Linked DNA regions of Saccharomyces cerevisiae S288C. The gene in region 2 interacts genetically with the main gene of each other region. Each region holds a gene or a part of one and is shown on either strand. Other genes may lie near its edges. The genes, in order: MPT5, STM1, YEF3 and PRB1.

Region 1 (7,065 bases), on a different chromosome or scaffold from region 2:
ACGGGCGCTACTTCATTTATGGTTCAACTAGCGCTAGGGACGGAAAGGGTGATTTTGAAGTATTTTGTACCACTTTATCTGGAAATCTTGACTACGAAAAATCCGAAGGTGGAAATATCACCCTCTATCCAATAGGAGGTATGAAGAACTACTGTAGGTTAGAAAACTTCCAGTTTGAATCTATCCACCTACATTCGGCTTTCATACCCCCAAGGTACGTAAATCCGTTTGATGCTGTGGAACCTCTAGGTGAAGAGAGCAGTACTTCACCTTACGATATACCTGAAGAAGCACTTTCTCAAAAAATATGCATCTTAATTCGGAGAGAAGATGATCCCTACAATGGGGCCAATATCTTCATAACATCTGCTTTGACCTAGTTTAGCCCACCGAGATTTTTGCTTTATAAATATTTTAGCATACTTTGCATTCATATACATATTCATATGTATAAATATTCTTTAAATTTTAACGCCGACTTCGAACTAATTAGCAGTCAAAACCCAAATGTAATGACCTTATGGTGTTATAGCATAATTCTTCTTGGTGTACAATTCCATTCTGAATAGTTCAACGATTTTAGATATAGTTAGATATGATATTATAATAAAATATACAAATATGTATCATTGTTAGTACAAGTTAAACCTAAATATAATAAAGCCAACCAAGACAGGAACCAGTAGAAAAATTTATACAAATGACAAAGAAAAACAAACGGTATTTTCCTATTTATTAAAAATGCTTGAGCGAATGGATATTTTAACACATTAGTGTCCTAAAGGACAATTGGATTTGAAAATAAAATGACAGTAATAGACAAAAAGAAAACTGAATGAATGAATGGACGTATGGATTGCTTAATGAATGAATGAATTAAATAATAGTTGGGCGTAAGTTCAGAAGATGAGGAATTTAAAACAAAAATAATCGTTGACAAAAAACGATTCAAAAAAAAATTAGATCATTTTGGTAGGGAGCAATGCTAACCCTGCAAAGGCAGTGGGAGGATTTTGGATACGTGTTCGGAAACAGAATACAAAATATAAAGATGGCAATAGTTTGCTTTACCATTTTTTTCCGGCTCAAATTTTGGGACTTTAGTAGGACGTCATTGCTTAGTTGAATTTTTTATTTTTTATTTTTTATTTTTCTTTTGTCTTTGATTTCTGCGTAAAATATTTGTACAGTAAGAAGGAAAGAAAAAGAAAGAAAAAAAAGTATTATGGCAAAGTGAATTGAAGTTCATCAGATGTTCTAGCGGTATTCATGGCAGGCATATTGGAAATACTAGCGTTGCGGCTCATATTAACTTGATTATATGGGCCTTGACCAATATGCTGCGACTTCATTGACAAACTTGAATCCCAGTTTGCACCTTCCGTTTGATATTGCATACGAGGCACAAAAGATTCATTGAAGTTTTGACTATTTGCATTAGAGTATGGCGAGAAGTGATTAGCATTAATTTTGTCGGTTTCATTCATCATAAATCCAGGCTGCTTAAATCCCCTTGAAACATTAGGATTCACATTGGTAATGTTAGATGATGAGAACGAATGGATTGGTGCAGCAGAATTAGGATGTGCCATTAAATTTGCAAACTGGCGGTTGTCGAAGTTTTGTAACGAGTTATGGCTTACCAATGGTGGGTTAGTTTGAGAATTGAAAGAAGGTGCTCCCATCGAGGGATATGCGTTTTGGTTGAAGTTCATAATTTGTTGCGGAGAGTGAATTTTCTGATCTTGTGCATATTGGTTTGAGAAATTATTGGTTACAGAGCTGTTACTTCTTCTATGGTAAGCATTAGCTGGTAAAGAAAAATGACGGGTATGACTCTTTTGATTATTATTGTTATTATTATTGTGAGCATGGTTATGATTATGATTATGATTATGATTATGACTATTTTTGTTATGGGGGTTCTTATTTTCGTTGTTAATCGTTTGAAGATTGTTATGACTCATTGCAGTGACTTGAGGAGATATGTCAGTGAATGGTATACCTGTGGCTTCTGCATAAGCTTTAACTTTCAACTTAATTTTCTTTGCATAGGATGTAGTTTTAATACTTGGAAGTAATTCTTTTGTAAGGACAATCAAGTTACCAATTTTCAATGAAAAATCGTTACAAAAGTTACCGTAATTCAATGTACTAGAGCTGTTTTGCCCAATTGCGTTACTATTTTTGTTGTAAGCAAGCAGAGGAGAATAATTCTTAACGTCTAATAGCGTTTGTAACGCATAATTACCAAAATTATCCCTGATTAGCACATTTAAATTGACTGTGAATATATCAATGGTAGTCAAAAGAATGTTCATAGAAGCATTAATCACGTCATCAGAAGCAACTGCAGTCCTTTGGGAGGCACCCCCATTGTTATTAACAATAAATCCAGTAATGATTCTAAATAATTTTTTAATGAATTTTTCCACAACATTTGAGGAGAACTTCAAACAAGATAGTTGACATAATTCATTGGATAAACGGTTAAATAACTCAGCCAATAAGTAAAAGTCCAATTCTTTGATATCTAACAGAAATTGGATGATATAATTACCGAACTGATCGTTGATTAATCCAGGAAGGAACTGCACAATTTTCACAGAAATTTTGAAAATTTGTTGTAGAGTACAAACGCTTAGTAATTTTTGTAGTACGCAACAACCATGTTTATGGGTAGAAATGGTAATGATATTATTTTGTTCTACAATAGCATCTATGATGAAACCAAATTTTGATGGCGAGAATTTGAAAATACACTTTTGAATCACATGGTTACCATTAAGATCGTTTATCAAAGTAACCACTTGCTCAATCGAAGTAAATTCTTGGGAAAATCCCTTAATAATGAGATCGATTTGAACTTCGTTATCGACAGTGTCTATAATTTTCTGTAAGGAACGAGTTCCGTACTGATTGATTGATATTTGGAAAACATTTGGATATATTGTTTGTATTAATAATGTCTTTTGCTCGGCAGTTAAATAATCGCATAGTTTTTGAACCAAATAGTTACCGAACGGATCCAAAATAAGGTCCAAGAAAAATGGCTTAATTTGTTCATACATCAAGTCTCTCACCATATTGGATTCACTGGGGGTTTCTAATTTTTTTTGAAGAAAACGGCAGCCAAACTGGTCAGTGGCAAGTTTGATATAATCCAGATCTCTAAGGGGTAGTGCGCTGATTTCGACCATAGATGAAGACGTTGAGCTACTCAAACCAAATGACGAATTATCCACTCCACATTTGGAAGCAGCATTATTACTATTGCTAAAATTTCTGAGAGATGCAGCAGGAGTCACTGAAGAGGATGGTGTTTCCATAATTAAACTGGAGGTATTGACACCAGAGTTCGAAGGAGCAACAACCGTGAAATCGTGGCTTGATTTTCTCCTGGGACCATCCATTTCCAGATCAAACTCATTGATTAATGGTAGAATGGCTGGAGGATTTGCCATTGAGGCTGAAAGCCCAGTGGAGTTGCTAGCAGCATTAGGATTCGGGGAAAAAGAGTTAGCAGAATTCGATGTTGATGTATTATTCATCAAAGCCAAGGGAGATTGTGTCGATGATATGAACTGATTAAAACCAGAGAGATCAAGCGAATGAGCCTTTTGATGGTTTCTTTTGTTATTCATCTGGCCCAAAGGCGGAGGGGTCACGGGCTCCAAGAGTGATTGGACGGAGTTAATAGATAGTTGAGGCTGATGATTGTAAGACATTAAGGAGTTATTTGATGTAGACGTAGTTAAAATCGATGCTGAGTCGGCAGATGGAAATGGTTCGTTATTGATCTGATTGAATAAAAGAATGTTGTGTTAGTAAAGTGAAACCACAAAAATAAGGCGTGTGCAGAGCCGATTTTGGAGTATAAGCCTAGGATCAATTTCGATAACTGAGAAAGAGAACAATCACAACCATGTACAGTGTCCAGGTGGCCTGAGATGCGTGAGAATCAAGAGTAAATCTATCTATAAAGTTCGACTTCAATGGCGACAGAGGATGGCAAAAAAAGAGGACAGGAAAAGAGGAAGACAAAACACAAAATTTATGCTTGATTTTAGAATGAAACCTATAACCATAAAGAGTAAAATCCTTATAACTCTCAACGAATCTGCATAAATTTTTCATAGATCTTCGAATCTTTTCTTTTTTTTTTTTTTTTTGCTCATTTTTGCCTGAGGCGCCTCTTTCCCGAAGCCCTTCTTTCGAGAAAATCCTTATAGGCATATTCGAGAAATAAGGTAGGGTCAAGTATCAGAAATTCCATACGACATAAACGGAGATTGTTAGACCGCTAAAAAAGGCGTGTCGATAGGCTGATCCCACTGAAGCTGGTTTTTGGTTATTATGCTATTTGTTGTTAGAAGATCCCGTTAAAGCTTATGCTCCATTGGCGAAGAAAAATATTGGGAATTAAGAGATAATACATACCATAAGAGAAACTGGAAAAATCGTAATTGATTTATAAATTTGCGTAGAATTCGCTTTACTATGTGTTGGAGAGGAGTTGAGGAGGTTTTTTTTTTTTTTTTTTTGGTTTTTTAGCTTTTATCTTAAGGAATAGTAAAAGTGGCGGTTGTAGTAGCAGGCTTTTGCTGATCCGTAGTCCAAATCTAGTAATTTCAAGGCGCTTGACTTCTTGATGTTATTACCTTTCTTTTATTACTTAACTTGCCAATCAATGATGTGTCAATGATCTTCTCGGGGCTAGCAGATCTGTTCTTTTTTACCTGTTCTCTTTTTGTGTGAAAAGATAAAGTAAATTATGAAATAGGCTGATCTTGATGTTGACTCAACAGTACCCAAGGTTTTGAAATGTGAATTGTGTTCAGTATATTCAATGTTTCAGATATATATTGAAAGGAAACCACCTATTATGCTTTTTAGGCCTCTATGTAAGAAAATCTATACGTTTAACACAGATGCGAACCAGGAAAGAAGAAGAGTTCTTGTAGGCCACGTTTAAGAATGGCAAGAGAGAAAAAAAGAATGATCACAAGAAAACTGATTTCAGAATTGTAATATCGGACGGCAATACTAGTGTAATCTGAACCACAAGGTTAGTCTTAGCTGGGTAAAACACCTGGCGAAAGAAGAAAAAAAATAAGGAATCTGGATGATTATAAACTTTTTTAAATTACCCTTCTTTTATACATGAAAAGGGCATACAGCATACATAAACGGTAAAGAAAAAGAGGCAATCGTCAGTATTAATTGGCTCTAAGCTAGTCCAGGAAATAACCGCGTATAAATCCAAACCGTACTTCAGAACATTCAGATCTTTCTAGCTACTTGAAAGCGCGTACCATTTCCCCAACCTTAATATGTATATTTTATCACTCACTATGCAGTACTAGGCCGCTTCTTTCTATTGCTTTTCAGATTGCCAGATGCAATATATCCCGCTTCGGAATTATTAAAAATTTAGGGGTTGGCCAGATGTTTAGAACCTCGCTTTCCAGTTAATTGCTTTAGGAAAAGAAAGGCCAATATTGTTGTCATTTTTGTATTTTTTGCGCGGTACTGACCTTTTACTGCGGCGTTTCGCGTTTTTTTGGCATTTCGCGTTTCAGTGCGGCCCCCCCTCCCCAAAAAAATGGCGTATATTTTTAGTTAGTTTCTTCATCGTTCGATGCCTAAGCCGAGAATTTCAGAAGGCTTCTAAGGGCCAGAGTAAAGAGATCCATTGAGCCCCCACCCAGTTGGCAGCGGATGCCGAAGGGCGGAAGGAAGGGGCGTGTATAGGCTTCTTTACGAGAGCAAAAGACATTACAACGTACAAGGGACATTCCGTTCCCTTGTACGTCATGTTAATGAGCAAGAAACCGCTCACCGGCAATGGTTGGTGGTAGTGGTAGTATGGACTCTTTGGGTGATGAAAAGTAATCAGAACATTCTGCAATTTCTTTACATTTCCAATACTTGCTCCATTTAATCCTTTCCTTAGGTGGCGATAGCCCACGCGAAAGACGACCTAGGGTCAGGAGATTATCAATGCACTTGAGGCTTTAACTACTATGGCTTAAGAAGGGTAGCTACTTTATTTTTGTGCTTTTAAGAAATGTAATCATTAATTAAGTAATTAGGAGGTCAAGACGAAAACCATAAATAGATTGTGTAGAAGGGGCCGTACATTTTGTTTCTTATGCAATGTGGTAGTTTCGTTTACCGCCCTCGCCGGTCCATCACAGCATTTTGGAGTTCCTTTCTAAGGTCCATCGGAGCACCTTTATTTTTTTTGCGCTTCGGATAAATTGCATTTGGTTGATAACTTCCATCTCCACCCGTCCCCTCGCACCGGACCTTTTAAAGATCCCTTTGTATATAATAAACCAACGGGTCCTATAAAGACTACCGCTGATATCTTCGGTTTGCACAACGTCCTTCAGCAAGCAAAATATGGCTGTTTTTATTCTCTGTATGTCCTCATTGATGAGGACTCGCAACAATCTTGGCTATTTTTTTCGTTGAGCATACCCGGTCCCTGAATCTTTTGTGCGGGTATTATACGAAGAGCGGGTGTGCCTTACTTATCCGCGCGGTATATAAAGCCATACATTGTTAGGACAGGTGTCCCCAATAAGAAACACTACTTGTAAGTGGTATATAATGCTCGAGCCTCTAGTGACTCGTACTCTACGCCTTGAAATTGCTGCGCACATATTCTGCATATAAAAAGGAAGCTTTGAAGAATATGGTACTACTTAAAGAACCTGTTCAGCCGCTGCCTCGATCATCTCTGTTATATAATAATGCGAGCAATAGTAGTAGTCGTATAAAAGAGACAAGAAAAGTCAAACTATTATATAATCCCTTAACTAAGAGACAAATCCTTAACAACTTTGAAATTTTAGCCACTTTGGGTAATGGACAGTACGGCAAAGTGAAATTAGCAAGAGATCTCGGGACAGGTGCGTTGGTTGCAATAAAAATTCTTAATAGATTCGAAAAAAGAAGCGGGTATTCTCTTCAATTGAAAGTAGAAAATCCAAGGGTTAATCAAGAAATTGAAGTAATGAAAAGATGTCATCATGAAAACGTTGTGGAATTGTATGA
Region 2 (4,844 bases):
ACTAATAGAGAACTTGATAAGATACAAATTTCATAAAACACCATATACTCGGAGCTCAATATGGCCTTTCAAAAGAAATTCGGCGGTAATAATACTATTATTCATTGGAATGAAAGGCGAACTACGAGTGCTTTTAACTAAACGTTCAAGAACATTGAGAAGCTTCTCAGGTGATGTTTCATTTCCTGGAGGTAAAGCTGATTATTTTCAAGAAACCTTTGAAAGCGTAGCCAGAAGAGAAGCTGAAGAGGAGATTGGGTTACCGCATGATCCTGAGGTCTTGCATAAGGAGTTCGGAATGAAATTAGACAATTTGGTCATGGATATGCCATGCTATTTATCAAGAACATTTTTAAGTGTTAAGCCAATGGTCTGTTTTCTTTACAAAGATAAATTAGAAAAACATGAGGATAAATACAAAGTTCCCTTAGATATCCGTAAGTTTTTTGGTAAGCTGAACCCTGGAGAAACATCTTCTTTGTTTTCTGTACCACTCAATGACTTAGTTATACATCTTCTTCCTGAAGCCGATGAGGATGTTAAGAGTTATCAAGCAGAATATTTTGAGCGGAAGGAGTATAAGCTTAATTGGGGTGGAATAAAATGGTTGATTATGCATTATCATTTTCACGTAGCAAATAATAACGAAATGCCATGGTTGCAAACCATAGAGGATTTATCAAGTTCAGACGAAGACGGTGTTGATGGAGGTATTTTCAGATTCAGGGATTTGTGGGGACTCACATGTAAAATATTATTCGACGTTTCATGTATAGCTAATGGACTAATGGACGAAAAGTTAAAAGGAGAACTAGGGCACGAAGATTTGATAGTTGGACTACATGACTATGGTAATCAGATGCAACCGAACGGAAGAAGTGAATGGGAGATAGGAATGATCAACGGCGACAGAAACTTAAAATATAGCGATGTGATACCTGAATACTACATGAAGCACCTGCTGGAGTGCCGCTCGCTTTGGTAAAAAAAACTGTGGTATAATGCGTTGCCTAACAATACTCTCAAGAGATAATCAAGATGAGAGAAAAAGAATCATACTGGATGTCCTTAATCGATAACAAAAAGTTTTTAATGAAGAATGACTAATGATGAAATTGTTATACAAATACAAACAAACTACACGCTTGCACATCTCAGAAGTGAAAAAAAAAAAAAGAAAATTGAAAAGTAAATTAAAAGTCATTTATTTTTTATTGCTTAAATAAAACAAAATGATATGTCATATTCTCGATTGGATGTCAACCCAATTTTATTCTTTGGTTTGCCAGCATGATCATCTTCACTTGCAAATTATATAGTAAATAACCAATTAAAATAATAATAGTAATAGAAACAGAAAGTAGAACACTGTTATTGGATTCTTTCAGTTGGAATTATTCATATATAAGGCTTAAGCCAAAGATGGCAAGTTAGAAACGTCAATGTTACGGTTCTTTTGAACGGTGTTAGCAGAGTTAGTAGCGTTAGCAGTGTTGTTACCCTTTCTAGCGCCTCTACCACCACGACGGTTGTTGAAGTTGTTTCTGCTGTTGTTGTTTCTGTCACCGAAGTTCTTTCTAGTGTTAGATTCAACAAAAGTGGCATCAAATTCCAAGTACTCCTTGGTCTTCAATTGCTTAGATTTGACGTTCTTGACCTTGGTTGCTGGAACGTAAGCTTCCTTTTCAGCAGTTTCAATTCTTTCAGCGTCTAATTCAACCTTCTTAGCTTCTGGGACCTTGTTGAACTGGTTGTTAGCTTGTTGGTTCAAGTAGTCTTGCAAAGACAATTGAGCGGTCTTTGGCTTACCAGCGTCTTCAGCTTCTGCAGCGTCTTCAGCAATTTCAGCAGCAGCATCGGCTTGAGCTTCCTTTTCAGCACTCAATTCCTTCTTGTCATCACCCCAACCTTGGTTAACCTTCTTCTTGGTGTCAGTCTTACCAGTTCTAGAGTGGCGGTCAGTGGCCCTTCTGGTGTTGGACTTCTTGGTGGTGGCAGAGTCAGTGACATCCTTTGATCTGTTGTTTCTTCTACCAGCGGTCTTGTCTCTGATAGCACCCTCGTTACCAGAAGGTCTTGGTCTGTTCTTTCTAGCCTTGGATGGGTCAGCGGATGGAGGTGGGACGTCAGCCTTCTTGGAGGAAGTGTTGCTCTTGACGATTTCCTTTGGTGGCAAAACGACAACGTCAGCGTCTTCGACGTCGTTACCTAACAAATCAAATGGGTTGGACATTGAGAATAAAATGTGTATGCTTTCTTGGTTTATTTCTACTTCACCTCTAAAAGAATACTGTGGGGGGAAGAGAAATTTGCAAAGAAATAACTTCTAATTTAAAACTACGAAGCAGAAAAAAAAATCTTCCACAATAAACCAAGTATACAACTAAAACAAGCGAAGGAAGGAAGAAGAACAAAGGGGATATCGACTCAAAATCAAATATTACAAGGAAAATACCATATAATTTCTCTACTCAGTTAGGGCTTCCTCTACGCAACGATGATATCAAAATTGAAAAAAAAATTTCTTTTTGCGTTGGTGCGAACTTTTGGGAACACTTTCCATTCCAATAATTTCACTTTCCTTTATCTTTCTAAACGGTGATGTTACCCGTCTAAATAACAACATGGTAGCGCCATATGTTATACGGCTACAACTTTGTGTCACGTGACATTGAACGGCTTTAAAGCGGAGTATGATCTCTTTTCTGAGGCAATAAGGGGTGATGATCAGAAAGTGAGGAGGAGGAGACTCTGGATTAAAAGCCTATTACAACTTTATTCTAGTACAAAACTTTTGCTGATTAAGCAACGACAAGTAAGATCGAATAAAGTGGTAGAAAAACAGCAATAAGTTACAAAAGTATACGTGTTAAAGAATGACCATTGATGGCACGGGGCAATCTAAGGAGGCGCTGCAAGATGAACGGTTAAATACTGGCTCTGATAAGGTTTACCAAAACTATATGATGCCTGCTTTAGAACTCTACGATGCCAAGGTCTCCATAAACCATTGGCAGTTGCGGGATTGTATCAAACCAGGCTCCATGAACCAGAGTAAACTGTATTATATTTACGATCATTCGATAAGAGTACTAGATACGGATTCTTCCGTATTGAGGTCTCCAGTAAGGCGACATAATTCTATTCAACCGAGTAACAGTGGTAAAAACTCTACTGAAAAAACGTCTACAAAAGGTTCTAGGACAACGGGCTCGTATATCTCCAAAAATTTACATGTTCCTTCCGAGAAACTGGTAGAGTTCAACTTTAAGCCGAGATGTTTCACGGAATTAAATGGGTTGACTGTTTGTGGTGGTCTAATCGGTTCTGATGATAAGGGATTCCCTTCTAATTGGAACCGTTTAGCTCAAGATGCAAATATTTCGTTGCCGCCACCTTCCCAACCGATTAATATTTCCAAAAATATTAGTTTCCCTATAAATTCACATTATTCAAATCCTAATATCTGGAAGGGCATCGTGGAGTTTTATAATCAAGAAACGGACACAATGATGACTTTTACGTTGGGCCAGTTCATCAATAATTGTGTCACACTTTATGACAGGGCCAGTATGCAGTTTGATCTTTTTGCATGCAACAATGATGGTCATCTTTACCAATGCGATGTAAGTAATAGAGATGTAACACTAGTGAAGCGTTATGCGGATTTAAAATTTCCTTTGAATAACGCTTCTTTGTCACATGATGGTCAAACGATGGTAGTGTCTGGCGATTCTAATAAATTTGCTGTTTACAATCAAAATGAATTAACCAACCAATTCTCCTTACATTACGATAATCATCCTTCCTGGGGTAGTTCTGTCAATCGTGTTAGACGGATACCACGGTTTGCGTTACCTGATGAATCAGAATATATCGAAAACATATATGAAGCTCCAAATTCAGACCATGGGTTTTATAACTCTTTTTCCGAAAACGACTTGCAATTTGCGACGGTATTTCAAAATGGTACTTGCGCAATTTATGATATCAGAAACATGGCTACTCCCATGGCAGAAATTAGTTCGACTAGACCACATTCCCACAACGGTGCATTTAGAGTCTGTAGGTTCAGTTATGGCCTAGATGATTTATTATTCATTTCTGAACATCAGGGCAGAGTACACGTTGTAGATACAAGAAACTACGTTAACCACCAAGTTATTGTTATTCCTGATAAAGTTAATATGGAATATATAAACGAACGGAAGCATAATACAAATCATAATTTCACCACAAATAATAACAACGAAAACGAAAGTAATGATAGCAAAAATGAATTACAAGGGGCGGATTATCGGTCTTTATCAAGAAGAAGATTTTCGCTGCCCTCTATGCCAAATGTAACCACAGAACCATGGATAACTATGGCTCAAAGAATCCCAAAAAAGTATTTGGAGCCGCAAATTCTACCTTTTCCGAAAGTTATGGATAAAATTAGTAACGAATCGGTTCTGTTTTCTACGAAAGGTAGTTCATCAAGTGACGTAGCTCATCCATACAAGAGACGATGTTCATTCAGGGTAAGGAGAGTATCGACTTCGGCACCAACCGCCGATTATTCTAATAACAATGTTAACGCAAGTCTTGGCACACCTGCTGCTGATTCTATCGCAACTTCGTCGTCAAATTCCGCACCTCAAAATTTAATTGACCCCTTAATACTTTCTCACCAGCAAGCTAGTAATGATGTTTTTGAAGATGATGAATATTATGAAGCTTACAATGATGTTCACTCAACGTATCGTGTTTCTTCAGACTATCATGGTGTTTCCGCAAGAGCTTTTGAAAGTTTTCTCAGACCACCTTCAACGCCAGACTTACCGTCAGATGATGACAATTTT
Region 3 (7,152 bases), 200 kb from region 2:
TCCAGTGATGAATTTCATATTCTAGCTCAAAATCGGAGTGGTGACCTACACCAACGCCAAGGTCAGGGAACTTGTTTCCTCTCTTAGCAAATTGTAGATATTCCTCCTTGGTGATTTTGGTATTATCATCAACATCCAATAACCTCATAATAAGGCTAACAACACGCTTAGCCATTTCATTGTCAATTTTCTCAGATTCATCGTGTTGTCCCATACCATCACCAGCCCCCACAATTTCTTCACGGTTCAACCCGTAGAGAGATAGAATATCGTTTTCATCTAAAAATCCTTTCTTCTTGATATCATGTAACGCGAAGAAAGTCTCTGGAGTGTAATCTTTTAGCTGATGCTCATGGTCCATATGCCACTCCTCCCAGGATAAACCATCAGGTGGTGCCTCATTTTCCACATTAATTTCAGATCCTATTTCTGCCGTGGCAGTTACTTTATATAGAGTGAAAGCCAAAGAAAATACAAATCCCCTCAAAAACCTCATTTCCACAATTTTAATAGAACAGGGATGAAAAAATTTTAGGTCTTGGCTCTTTTATCTTTTCTAGAAGGAATATAATATTACGCTCAATCATGTTTTAAAGCTTCCTAGTCTATGATCCGTCACCTATTTTTATTCTTCCAAAAAAATATTTTCGTTACCCTCTTACCGAAAAGGGTATGAGGCAATGCTCAATTTGCCTGAGCTTAAGAATGTATGAAAAAAAAAGATGTCTGACTAATGGAACGCTTTTTCTTTTAAATAATGCCTTTCTTTATAATAAGGAAGTTGCGTCTATATTTTACCAAAATAAACAATATTACAAAAACATAGAAATTAAAATATACATAAATTATTGATCAATAAAAATCTTAAAGAAAACTGTGAAAGCAGTGATCAAAAAGATTAGAATTCTTCGTCAGAAGAAACGTAAGCATCACCCAATTCCTTCTTCTTCTTCATTCTTTCCTTCTTCTTCTTTCTCAATTCCGCAGAAGACAACTTCTTCTTCTTCTTACCACCGGCAATCTTGTTACCCATAGCATCGAATTTATCTTCTTCGTCTTCCTTCTTTTCGATTCTTGGACCAGCACCTTGACCACTAACCCAGTTGTGACCAGATGGAGTCATTCTACCGTCCTTGACGGCCCAGACTTCTTCAGTCAAGTTCTTTGTGAATTCAGCAGAGTGAGTAATGATAATAACACCACCTTCAAATTCCTTCAAAGCCTTAGACAAAGCACCCAAAGAATCTCTGTCCAGATAGTTGGTAGGTTCATCTAAGACAATCAAGTGAGGTCTTTGCCATGTACCGGCAGCTAAGACCAACTTAACCTTTTGACCACCAGACAAACCTCTAATTCTGGAGTGAGAAACAATTTCTGGGTCCAAACCCAACATGGAACAATGTTCTTCAATTTCTTTTCTGGTTAATGGACGGAATTGACCAGAAGCCAAAGCTTCCTTCATATCAACTTCAGCAACCATCTTAGAGTGAGATTCAACCAATTCACCTCTTGGAATCCAAGCGTTGTCGACGGACATCATTGGAACCCATCTTTCAGATTTCATACCAATGTTTTCACCCAATAAGAAAGAACATTCATATTCGTAAGTGTTCTTGAACTTTCTTCTGGAGTGGATACCGGCAATTCTTCTAGGGGTACCTTCAATCTTGAAGATCTTGTTCATAGCTTCAGCATCGTTTTCGTTGATTTGTCTGTTAGCTCTGTCCATGGTTTCTCTATCTTCACCGGTTTGGAATCTCCATTGGATATATTCAGATGGAGTCTTGTCCAAATGAGATTCGATATGAGCAAAAGCGTGTTGCTTAATGTAAGCGATACGACAATTTTCGTGGGTGTAGACTTCACCAGAGGTTGGTAATAGTTCACCAGTCAAGACGTTAATCAAAGTAGACTTACCAGCACCATTTGGACCAATGACAGCAATTCTGGAAGACAAAGAACATTGGAAGTTAATGTCAGTGATTTGTGGCTTAGAGGTACCTGGATATTGGAATTCCATGTTGGTAACCTTGACAATAGCCTTTTGCTTAGTCTTAACACCTTCCAAGTAACCTGGTTCTGGGAACTTGAATTCCAAATCAGTGTTGGATAATTCTTCGTAAGCCTTAGCAGCTGGACACTTCTTAACGAATTCGGTAAAGTTACCCTTGTACTTTCTCAACTTCAAACCTTCGTAGTTAATAATATATTCACAGACGTTATCTAAGAAAACGGAGTCGTGAGAAATAGTGATAGAAGTGATACCACAGGTGTTCAAGTAGTTAACTAACCAAGCAACGTTGACGGTATCCAAATGGTTAGTTGGTTCATCTAACAACAAGATATCAGCATTTCTCAACACAGCTCTAGCTAGAGCCAACTTCATCTTCCAACCACCAGACAAAGCAGAGATTGGCATAGCAATCATTTCATCGGTGAAACCGAATTCAATCAATTTGTCCTTGATAGCTTCTTTAGTACCAACACCAGATTCGAAAACGAAATCCAAGACGGAAGTGTCAGAGTGAGTACCATCAATGTCGTGTTCGACGTAGACGGTTCTACATTCTTCTTGGGTTGGGAAACCATCAACTTGACCGTTGGCAATAGCTCTCATTAAAGTGGACTTACCACAACCGTTTGGACCACAGATACCATATCTTCTGGCTCTCTTCAATCTTAATTGGGTCTTGTTCAACAAGATTTTAGCACCATAAGCCAAAGAGAATTCACAGTTACATAAGTCTTCACCTTCGTCTTCTTCGTCGTCGAAGTTTGGACCAACTGGAATGTTGTCGACAGCTCTCTTTCTGAATTCGTCCAAGATGTCCTTGGCCTTCTTTTCGTGCAAGAAGATAGTCATGTATGGGGTGATGTGGGTGAACCAAGCTTGTTGGTCAATGATTCTTTCATCGATCAAATCAGCACCAATGGCGGCAATGTACTCGACGACAATCTTAAATCTTGGAGCAACGGTTTCGTCCTTCAACAATTCGTTAACGACTTGCAAAGTAGTAGAAACGTCACCAGCGTGAGAAACTTCTGGAATAGCATCGTCTTCACCAACGTTACCAACTCTTCTCAAAGTCTTCAAAGCTCTCAAAGTAACTTCTCTGGCTTCTGGGTCAGCAATGGTAGCAAAGTTACTCTTCAAACCTGGCAACAATTTACCCAAGAAAGGAGCAATAACTTGTGGGTCTTCGACCAACTTACACATGTTGTCAATAATAACAGCAGACTTACGCTTGATACCGGTTTCTCTTTCGTTCAAACCTCTGGACAACAATGGGACCATGATGGACAAAGTAGCTGGAGTAACTTCAGCAACGAAAGTAGTAGCACCTAACAAATGAACGGTTTCTGGAACTTCAGTTGGGTCAGCAATACATTGAATCAAACTTGGAATGAAACGTTCAATATCCTTGTTGTCAACAGTTTCGGTAGCCTTGGTCATGGCGGCAGTAGCAGCAGCCTTGACTTCCTTCTTGGTGTCCCACATGGTTTCAGACAAGACTGGAATCAATTCTGGCATTCTTAGGGCAACTTGATCCTTAGCAGCATCGACCATAGCAGAGATAGCTGCCAAAATAGCAATCTTTTCTTGCCATTTGTTAGTTTCGACAATAGCGTTAGTCAAATGTGGCAACAAAGCTTTGATGGCAACTGGGTTAACAGCGTTAACGATGGAAATCAAAGTTTCGGAAGCAACAGATTGAATTTCTTTGTCCTTGTTACCTGCGTTGGTACAGATAGCTGGAACCAATTGGACGATGTATGGTTCAACAGATGGAGACAAGTTAGATTGGTTAGCAATGTGAGCAACAGCTTGCATGGCGTTAGCAGCGGTCTTCTTGTCCTTGATACCCTTGGCCAATTCACCGAAGAAGTGTTCTGGAACATCATGTTCAATGATGTTACCATTCAAGAAAGAAGCGACTTCAGAAGCGATTTCGTGTCTGTTGTCAGCAGTGGCAACAGATAACTTCTGGAATAGTTCTTCTAGAACCTTAATGGATTGCTGGGAATCAGACATCTTTTAATGTTATCGATGGATTCGAACTAGAAAAATACACGGTTCTTTAGAAAACAATTAAGGAAAGAAAGAGAGCGTAAGAAAAAGAGATATTCTACAAAATTTTGATGCAAAAGGTTTTTATAAAACTTCTTATCTTATATGAAAGATGAGATGAGATAATTATACTCGAGGAAGCGAAAAAATTTTCACCAACGCAAAAAAAGAAAAAGAAAAAAAAAAAAAAAACATTAAAAACGTTTCTTTTTCACGTGCTAAGTGATCTAATAATTTAGGGTTATGCATGGGTGGGGCCGGATAAACCGCGGTTGAAAGTGATTAAACGGAGTCTTTTCTTTTTTTTGCTTCTTCGTTTCTTTTTTTAATTTCTTCTTTCTTCACGAATATTTATTACCCAGCCTGTCATGATTTTTTGATACGTAATTGCCCTGGTTGGGCCCTTTTGCGAGTGGCAGTAAGTATGGAAGGGGCGAACAATGATTGTAAGTTGTTTTTTTAATAGGGTAACGACCGGGTAAAATAGAAAGAAGTGTTGACTAAGAAACGGGAATCAACATTCACTTGCTTATCTTAAAATGTTATGTATATATACGCCCTGTAGATATGTATAAAATATATACTTGTAGAAGGAGTTTAATGTATATATATCTTTTAAAAAGGAATAGGTAAAAAGATTGAAACAGAAGGGAAAGTTGCTATTCCCTGATAGTGGCGCTTATTGGAATTGTAGGCCCTACGTCATTTTCTTGAACTTTTTTTCTTCTTTGCAGAATCGTGGACGTATCCAGCGTTAATTGGAACATATTTTGTTCCAGCTGTTCATCGCCTTGGGCGCCACTGTAACTATCTTCCAATTCTTCGTCCTCAGCAAGCGAGCCTAATCCTCCACGTGTTCCCATACGGTCTTCTTCGGTACGTTTCACAGCATTACCAATATCAAAGGCGTCACGCATAGCAACAGCAGCTGGTGAAAACAGTAGCGAGGAGTCTCTTTGAAATAGTTGGAATTGTTTCTTATGCGGATGGCGTCTTTCGGAAGTACCTGCTTTCTTTTGTGAAGATTCGCCCTCCTTTGGTAAACAATCGAATGTATTTAACCATGGGTCGTCCAAAAACTGGTCAATGTCGTATCTTTTAGACGGCTCTAGTTCTAATAGCTTAGCCACGGCATTCTTGGCACCGGCGCTGATTTCATCCCACCAAGGTTTCAGAAAGGTATACTCACCCCTTGATATTTTTTCAGTTAAAGTGTCAATTTTCTCATCATAGAATGGCGGGAACCCACATAACATTGTGTACAAAACGCAACCAATCCCCCACATATCCACTTTCATAGAATAATGCTCATCTTTGACAACTTCAGGGGCAGTGTAACCGACTGTACCACAAGGAGTCTTGGTGTTCTTGGAAAATATTTGTTTAGACAAACCAAAATCAGCTAGTTTTACTATACCAATTCCACCACCACCAACTCCTGGTGTGAAAATTCCCTCGTCTGCCTTTGTTTGCGGATCATCCGATTTCCTCAATTTTGGTTTTATAGAGCGTGTGAATTCAATCGGTTCAAAAAGAAGATTCTCAGGTTTTATATCACGATGCACTACACCTAGTGAATGCATATGTTTAACAGCCAGTGCTAATTGTTTGATTACATGCCTTGATAAATCTTCACTGAAATAGGTCAACCTAACAATTTCGCCGAAGATTTCCCCACCGGTTAGTAACTCTTGAATAATATAATAATAGCTATCTGTTTCTTGGAAGTCTATGAACGCGACAATTTGTGAACAACCAGCGGAAACCGTCTTATGTAGTGCAACTTCCTTCAAGACTTGATCTCTGGAAGAAGTTTTAGTGCTGTCCTTCCCTTTGTCCTTCTTACGATGATCACCATTAATCGAGGATAAATCTGCCTTTTTGATAACTTTAATGGCAACAGCTTTATAGTTTTTAGTTAAAAATTCATTAGAACTATTTTTAGCAGGTATGGCTCTAAAGACTTTTGAAAAAGCACCTTCACCGATTTTATTGATCAGCTTGTAACCTATCAATTCCTTTTGTTCGAGGAAGGATTTTTCCGGAATTTCATCTTCCATATTGTCATCATCAGTACTGTCATCCTGGATATCACTGATAATCTCGCTTTGTTCCGAAAGAGATTCGTCAGATATTAAGGGGTCGGAACTTAATTGACCTTCACTACTTTCATGGACATCGATAGCTGGCACGGAAGTAACTGTTTCCACATTTTCCGTGGTAATATTATCACTCGGTGAAGAGTCCGAGTCTATCGTGGTTACTAATTCATCGGTTAAAGACTTCATATGATGGTCATCTGCGACAACACTCGGGTACTGAACTATATTTTTGTCCTGAAAGCTTTTCTTAGGGGAAGAAGTAATCTGGGAAACATCTTTGTTATTTGTACCGCTTGACCTGGTCTTACCCTTGAATGGTTTTTTAGATTCCTGAGACAAATCTGCCTGATCCGGTTTCTTTTTCGAGAAAAGGGCCTTTATTTTAAGCATCGAAGAGATTTTGTTTGATCCTCTCTAAATAAGCAGTACTCTTAACAATACTTTCGTCTTTTCCAATCGTTAAATGTTTGTACTTCAAATAACGTATGAACTATCTGGGATTTTATTTTCTTTAATTTTTTCGATGTCACTCTTTTTTTTTCTTTGGCCGATCCGTCTTTTCTAGTAAGCGTTTGTAAAAAGTTAGATGTCAATAGGAGAGATAAAGCCCCAGAGATAGAGTTTGACTTCGTTGAAATAACTGTCGCTGATTACTATTATCTAGGATTCTTGACGAGGTTTCCTCTTAATCACTGGATTTATAATTATAACCTTAAACCTAGCCAGTAAAAAAGTTTAAAAAGAACAAAAAACAATAACAAATAAATGTCCCTTTATCCTCCTTTTTTCTCTTGATTGCTATAAAGTAAAAAGATTACTAGACTTTATGCCAACGTACTCGTGGACGACTAAAACTAACGGTGATTTTTTGGATCGTAGTGGCTCTTTTTCAGCCTTCGTACTTTCAAGAATAAAGGAAATGGCAACTACTAAAAAGAGTGCCTGCGCAACGGATGTTTTATTAGCTTGAAGATGTAGCTG
Region 4 (5,655 bases), on a different chromosome or scaffold from region 2:
TATTACTAGAGCCGTTGCTATTGCTGTCCAAGAGGTCCTTCAATTCTTCGTTGTAGAGTTCAATGAACGAACATTTTACTACGTAATCGTTCTGTTGTAGTTCCAATGTGTCAAACAACTTCAAAAGAACCCTCGGTATAATTCCTGCTGCATCGCTCAATTCACCATTATATAACTTTTCGTCGCCCGTCATTGTATATGTTTTACCTGTTGACGTCATACCATATACCAGTACGGTGCAATTGTAACCTTTAATGAAATCCTGGAATAATGGGCCCGCCACTTCATCAAAAATTAGATCCTGGGAAGCGCCGGGACCGAAGACTTTGTCCACTGTGTATCTCTTGGCATTCATTTGAGCAGTTATACCGGTATCTCCCGTCGTGTTAATGGAAATTTCTTTAGAACCTGTAATATCTGGAACATTTACCACAACGGAGCTTTTCATACTAATTTCCCTTTCATTCCTTCCTCTGCATCGCACAGCTACAGTGATGTTCAGTTCCTCATTAGGAACAGTGTGACATCCAACCTGAGAGTTGCCATTTTTACTGATGCTGTTGGAGCTTCTATCTTGACCCGTATTTTGGTTTTCCGCTGGCATCAAACAAATTCTTTCTTGTTGTATTTTTTGCGCTTTTATATACTTTTTATTACTTTTTCCTTTGAATTGCTTGCTTCTGTATCTATACTCAACGTTACTTTCTGGCCATACCATAAGTTCTACACCCGCTGTTGAGAAGCGGGTCACAAAGGAAGTCTTTAGATGATGTTATTGTTGCGGCCTTGTTTGTTTGTTTTGTTTATTTCGCGTACCTAATACATCGTCACCACACACGAAAACGAAAACATTTGATCAGATAAGTGATCTGCAAATAAGATATAATAAAAGTAACAGTTATTTATTTAATTAAAAACGCAAATATGTAGTAATACGTGGGACATATAAATTTCATGAATTAAAAAAAAAAAATGAAATTCAGATTGAAAATAATGGGGATATAAAAAAAGTGGACAAACGATAGTGAAGAGGGACTCCGACTTGTAACCTCGAGACGCCTAAGGAAAGAAAAAGAAAAAAAAAAGCAGCTGAAATTTTTCTAAATGAAGAATTAAATAATATTCAATTTATCAAGAATATCTCTCACTTGATCAAAGATTAAATCGGTCTTTGATCCAATGAATTCATCCATGTTCAATTCTTGCTTGAAACCAGATGAATGGGACTTTTTGGTATCATTCCAGAAAGCGGACAAATCTTGACCACCACCGTTGTAGATTAAAACATTTGGAGTGTCTTCAGGGATATCGAACAAAATGTCCTTTGTACTGTAATGAATTAGCTTCTTTTTCAATTGCTGAGGAGTCAAAGAATCCTGGCCCAATTCGAAAAATTCACTATCAGAACCTGGTTGCAAAGACAAAAAGTAGGTCAACAAACCAGCAACGTGAGGGGAAGCCATTGAGGTACCCGATAAAGTGGCGGTGGCGTCATCACTTCCAATGTAGGTGGACAAAATGTTTAAACCTGGGGCGAAAACGTCGACACACTTACCCCAGTTGGAAAAGTAGGCTCTGTCATCGCTCAACGTGGAAGCTCCGACGGTGATGGCCTTGTCAGCAGAAGCTGGGGAGGTATTACAAGCGTCTTGGTTTTCGTTACCAGCAGCCACGGCAAAGTGAATACCGACTTCAACGGCTGCATTAACAGCCAAGTCCAAAGCTGGGGACTTGCCACCACCAAGCGACATATTGGCTGTGGAACCTTTGAACCCCTTTTTCTTTTCTTGGGCTTCTTTTTGGTGCGCCTTTGCGGCATATTCGACACCTTTGACGACATCAGACATGGTACCAGACCCGTTTGATCTCAAGACTTTCACCGCAACAACGTTGGCATTTTTAGCGACACCGTAGTGTTTGGAAGCGATAGTACCGGCACAGTGGGTACCGTGGCCGTTACCGTCGAGATCTTCGTCGTTAAGTGGGATGGTTTTCCCCCAAATGGCTCTCTTTTCGAAGTCCTTGTGGTTGATGTTGACACCCGTGTCAATAACATAGGACGTGACACCGCGACCGGCATCATCATCGTAGAGATACTTGTTGAAGGACCCCAGGTTGAGGCGCTCTCTGTGGGAAATACGGGCCAACCCCCATGGGGCGCTATTTTGAGTGTCAAATTCTGTAGCCTCGACAATAGAGTCTCTCTCAACAAAGTCTACTAATGGGTTTTGACGTATCAAGTCGACAATCTCTTGGGTGAAGTAACCGATGTAACCGGAGAAAAGATTATCGATGTTGAATGAGTCCTGGATACCGCCAGCCTCAGAGGTGGACAAGGAGGTGTCTTTAGTAGAAATGAAGAAAGCGTCTTCGGCAGATAAGTTCTCTACGGATTGAAGTTGTGCCTGCTGGACGTTTTCCTTGTGGAAATCGATCTCTTCTTGAGGGGCACCTCTCTTGAAGACTATAATGTAGCGGTTGGGGATGATCTTGGAGATCGCGTCTGGGTTGAATTGTGCAGTGGACACGAGAGGAGCCAGCCTGTTGTGGTGCCTCCCTTTCTCCAACGTCTTTTCGTGGTGCTTCTTGCCCTTGACTTTCTTACCTTTCATCTTCTTCTCCTCCACCTTATTTTCGTGGCAGCCACCCTTATGGTGAGGCTTCTTCTTCTTATCATCATTATCATCATCATTGGAACTTTCATGCTTAGGCTTCATGCCCTTTCCTCCCTCGTGGGCGCTCCCATGAGAGCCACTTGCACGTTTACCGTTGAATTCCGGAGACTCCTTGTCTTGGCCCTTGCGGCCCTTCTTATGGAACTTTCCATGTTCTTTATCTTCAGAGTCAGATGGCTCCTCATCATCGTCCTTAGTGAATTCCACTTTTCTGGGTCTCTCGTGGTGATCTTCCTTGTTAATCAGTTCGTGGTGGTCGGCGGCATTTTCAAGATTTGGGATGACCAAAGCAGCAGAGATGCTCCCTAGGGCACCGAGTGTAAATAGAGTATTTTCTAACTTCATCTTTGCTTGTTAGAATTAGGTTTAGTTTGTTTTTTTATTGGCGATGAAGCTAATTGGACTCTTAAGTTTGTATGGGAAGAACTCCAATATAACGGGACGTAACATTGGCCCCCTTTTATATTCATCGCGCTCTTTATCGCGGGTGTGTTTGCCCCCGCCACTCCCGCAGTCCTGGCGTGATAAGCCACTGCAGTGGCATTACTGAGCCCAAATTTTGCTTTTTCAACAAGTCACCTAAATTTCCAAAGCCGAAAGCCCTGCTACTCTGCTAACCCGGAGCGTTTAAAGTCCACGGACATTTCCCAGCCCTCGTTTTTTCTCCTCCCGGGACCCCGGGCATAAGTGCATAGTAGGCACAGACCTGATCTGTCGGGTGCAGTTTAAAAAAGTCTTGGCAAAATTTTTTATTTATCACACTACTGTGCTATATAGAGTATATGTAATTTTTAACTATTGGTATATGTGTCCGTGACCTCGTAGTTAGTGGCTGATTTGTCGGGTGCAATGCAGTGTTCAAAAAGCCTCTTAAAAGGCGAGCAGACGTATTCGGCTCCTTTGAATTGGCACTCCCATTGCACAAGCTCTTTCAGCCGGCAGTTGGTTTGTGAGTCAAGCGTTGCTAACGGTGCGAGCGCTTGGTCCCTAGTGCGGATGGTGGTTGGAGGCGCCATGAGGGTTGATTGTCTTATCTGCGATAGATGAGTCTTTCTTTCCTTCTCTTTTCCCCTTTTCTCCCCCCCTGTTTCTCGTCCATCTCTATCTGTCTATCTGTCTTATCTACTGTTAGTTTTTTTTTCGCTTTCACGATACCGCATTACGTACTGCGCTGCGGAAGTGTGGATGAGTGGCATATACACTCTTCTGCAGAGGATTTTCGTACACAACGGTGTGTGTGTGCTGTGAAGCTGTCTGCTTCCTTACTTGGCTGTTTGCTTGCTTGTGCGTCATGGTCACTTTTGTTAGAAGTGAGCCGCATAAAATGGCATGTCGGCACAGCCTACAGTTAAAAATTAAGCATATCTGACTGTTTATCTGTTTATCTGTTTATACACGGTGAACTGTCACGAGAACCCTTACTTGCACGATTAGCAGATTGTTCAGAGAGCCTCGCTCGTTGAAGTTCTTCTATATGCCAGCGTGTTTCATGTAGCAGGAAACGTTGCTCTATTTATATCTTTTCTGACATTTTGCGTCGTCGGGAAAAAAAAGATTAAGTAAGAACAAAAAACCGTTAATGGTTTCAGCAATCGAGACAAGTACAAGGACCAAGGCAAAGGTCAGCAGTAAGCTTAGAGACGATGAAGGTTGATTACGAGCAATTGTGCAAACTCTACGATGACACGTGCCGCACAAAGAATGTGCAGTTCAGTTACGGTACGGCCGGATTCAGAACGCTGGCCAAGAATTTGGATACGGTGATGTTCAGTACTGGTATACTGGCGGTTCTCAGGTCGCTGAAGCTTCAGGGTCAGTATGTGGGGGTGATGATCACGGCGTCGCACAACCCATACCAGGACAACGGGGTCAAGATCGTGGAACCAGACGGATCGATGCTTTTGGCCACATGGGAGCCATATGCCATGCAGTTGGCCAATGCGGCCTCTTTTGCCACTAATTTTGAAGAATTTCGTGTTGAGTTGGCCAAGCTGATTGAACACGAAAAGATTGATTTGAATACAACCGTCGTGCCTCACATCGTGGTTGGGAGAGACTCTAGGGAAAGTAGTCCATACTTGCTGCGCTGCTTGACTTCCTCCATGGCCAGCGTCTTCCACGCGCAAGTTTTGGACCTAGGCTGTGTCACTACGCCTCAATTGCATTACATTACTGATTTGTCCAACAGGCGGAAACTGGAAGGAGACACAGCGCCAGTTGCCACAGAACAGGACTACTATTCGTTCTTTATAGGAGCCTTCAACGAGCTCTTCGCCACGTATCAGCTGGAGAAGAGGCTGTCTGTCCCAAAATTGTTCATAGACACAGCCAATGGTATCGGTGGTCCACAGTTGAAAAAACTACTGGCCTCCGAAGATTGGGACGTGCCAGCGGAGCAAGTTGAGGTAATCAACGACAGGTCCGATGTTCCAGAACTGTTGAATTTTGAATGCGGTGCGGATTATGTGAAGACTAACCAGAGATTACCCAAGGGTCTTTCTCCATCCTCGTTTGATTCGCTATATTGCTCCTTTGATGGTGACGCAGACAGGGTTGTGTTCTACTATGTCGACTCAGGATCAAAATTTCATTTGTTGGATGGTGACAAAATTTCCACTTTGTTTGCAAAGTTCTTGTCTAAACAACTAGAATTGGCACACCTAGAACATTCTTTGAAGATTGGTGTTGTGCAAACTGCCTATGCAAACGGCAGTTCCACCGCTTACATAAAAAATACGTTGCACTGTCCCGTGTCTTGCACTAAGACAGGTGTTAAACACTTGCATCATGAAGCTGCCACTCAGTACGATATTGGCATTTATTTCGAAGCAAATGGACATGGTACGATTATATTCAGCGAAAAATTTCATCGAACTATCAAATCTGAATTATCCAAGTCCAAGTTAAATGGTGATACGTTAGCTTTGAGAACTTTGAAGTGTTTCTCTGAATTGATTAATCAGACCGTGGGAGATGCTAT

Evidence for each region.
Region 1: of STM1 (region 2) and MPT5, extra expression of one rescues a mutant of the other (dosage rescue), as found in Saccharomyces cerevisiae (2 studies listed by BioGRID).
Region 3: of STM1 (region 2) and YEF3, extra expression of one impairs growth in a mutant of the other (dosage growth defect), as found in Saccharomyces cerevisiae (one study listed by BioGRID).
Region 4: mutations in STM1 (region 2) and PRB1 together harm fitness more than expected from each alone (negative genetic interaction), as found in Saccharomyces cerevisiae (2 studies listed by BioGRID).

The regions. Positions count from the first base shown.
Region 1 is NC_001139.9:164,730-171,794, reverse strand, and holds MPT5 (Mpt5p), read right to left. Parts: upstream 4,444-7,065; coding exon 4,441-4,443; intron 3,801-4,440; coding exon 1,224-3,800; downstream 1-1,223. Other genes in the region: YGL176C (uncharacterized protein), read left to right, coding at 1-380; serine/threonine protein kinase TOS3, read left to right, coding at 6,704-7,065. UniProt on the Saccharomyces cerevisiae protein: RNA-binding protein involved in post-transcriptional regulation. Negatively regulates expression of HO by binding to the 3'-UTR of HO mRNA. Predominantly binds to mRNAs encoding chromatin modifiers and spindle pole body components.
Region 2 is NC_001144.5:437,856-442,699, reverse strand, and holds STM1 (Stm1p), read right to left. Parts: upstream 2,234-4,844; coding exon 1,412-2,233; downstream 1-1,411. Other genes in the region: PCD1 (8-oxo-dGTP diphosphatase), read left to right, coding at 1-985; GID11 (Gid11p), read left to right, coding at 2,877-4,844. UniProt on the Saccharomyces cerevisiae protein: Ribosome preservation factor that protect a small pool of nontranslating, vacant ribosomes in cells under nutrient starvation conditions.
Region 3 is NC_001144.5:633,661-640,812, reverse strand, and holds YEF3 (translation elongation factor EF-3), read right to left. Parts: upstream 4,034-7,152; coding exon 899-4,033; downstream 1-898. Other genes in the region: nucleobindin SSP120, read right to left, coding at 1-496; serine/threonine protein kinase RCK2, read right to left, coding at 4,729-6,561. UniProt on the Saccharomyces cerevisiae protein: Ribosome-dependent ATPase that functions in cytoplasmic translation elongation. Required for the ATP-dependent release of deacylated tRNA from the ribosomal E-site during protein biosynthesis.
Region 4 is NC_001137.3:38,934-44,588, forward strand, and holds PRB1 (proteinase B), read right to left. Parts: upstream 3,021-5,655; coding exon 1,113-3,020; downstream 1-1,112. Other genes in the region: kinesin motor protein CIN8, read right to left, coding at 1-604; SOM1 (Som1p), read right to left, coding at 3,467-3,691; HHY1 (Hhy1p), read left to right, coding at 3,719-4,027; phosphoacetylglucosamine mutase PCM1, read left to right, coding at 4,319-5,655. UniProt on the Saccharomyces cerevisiae protein: Vacuolar proteinase B involved in protein degradation in the vacuole. Among other substrates, acts on carboxypeptidase Y (cpY/PRC1) to activate it by processing its Pro-peptide.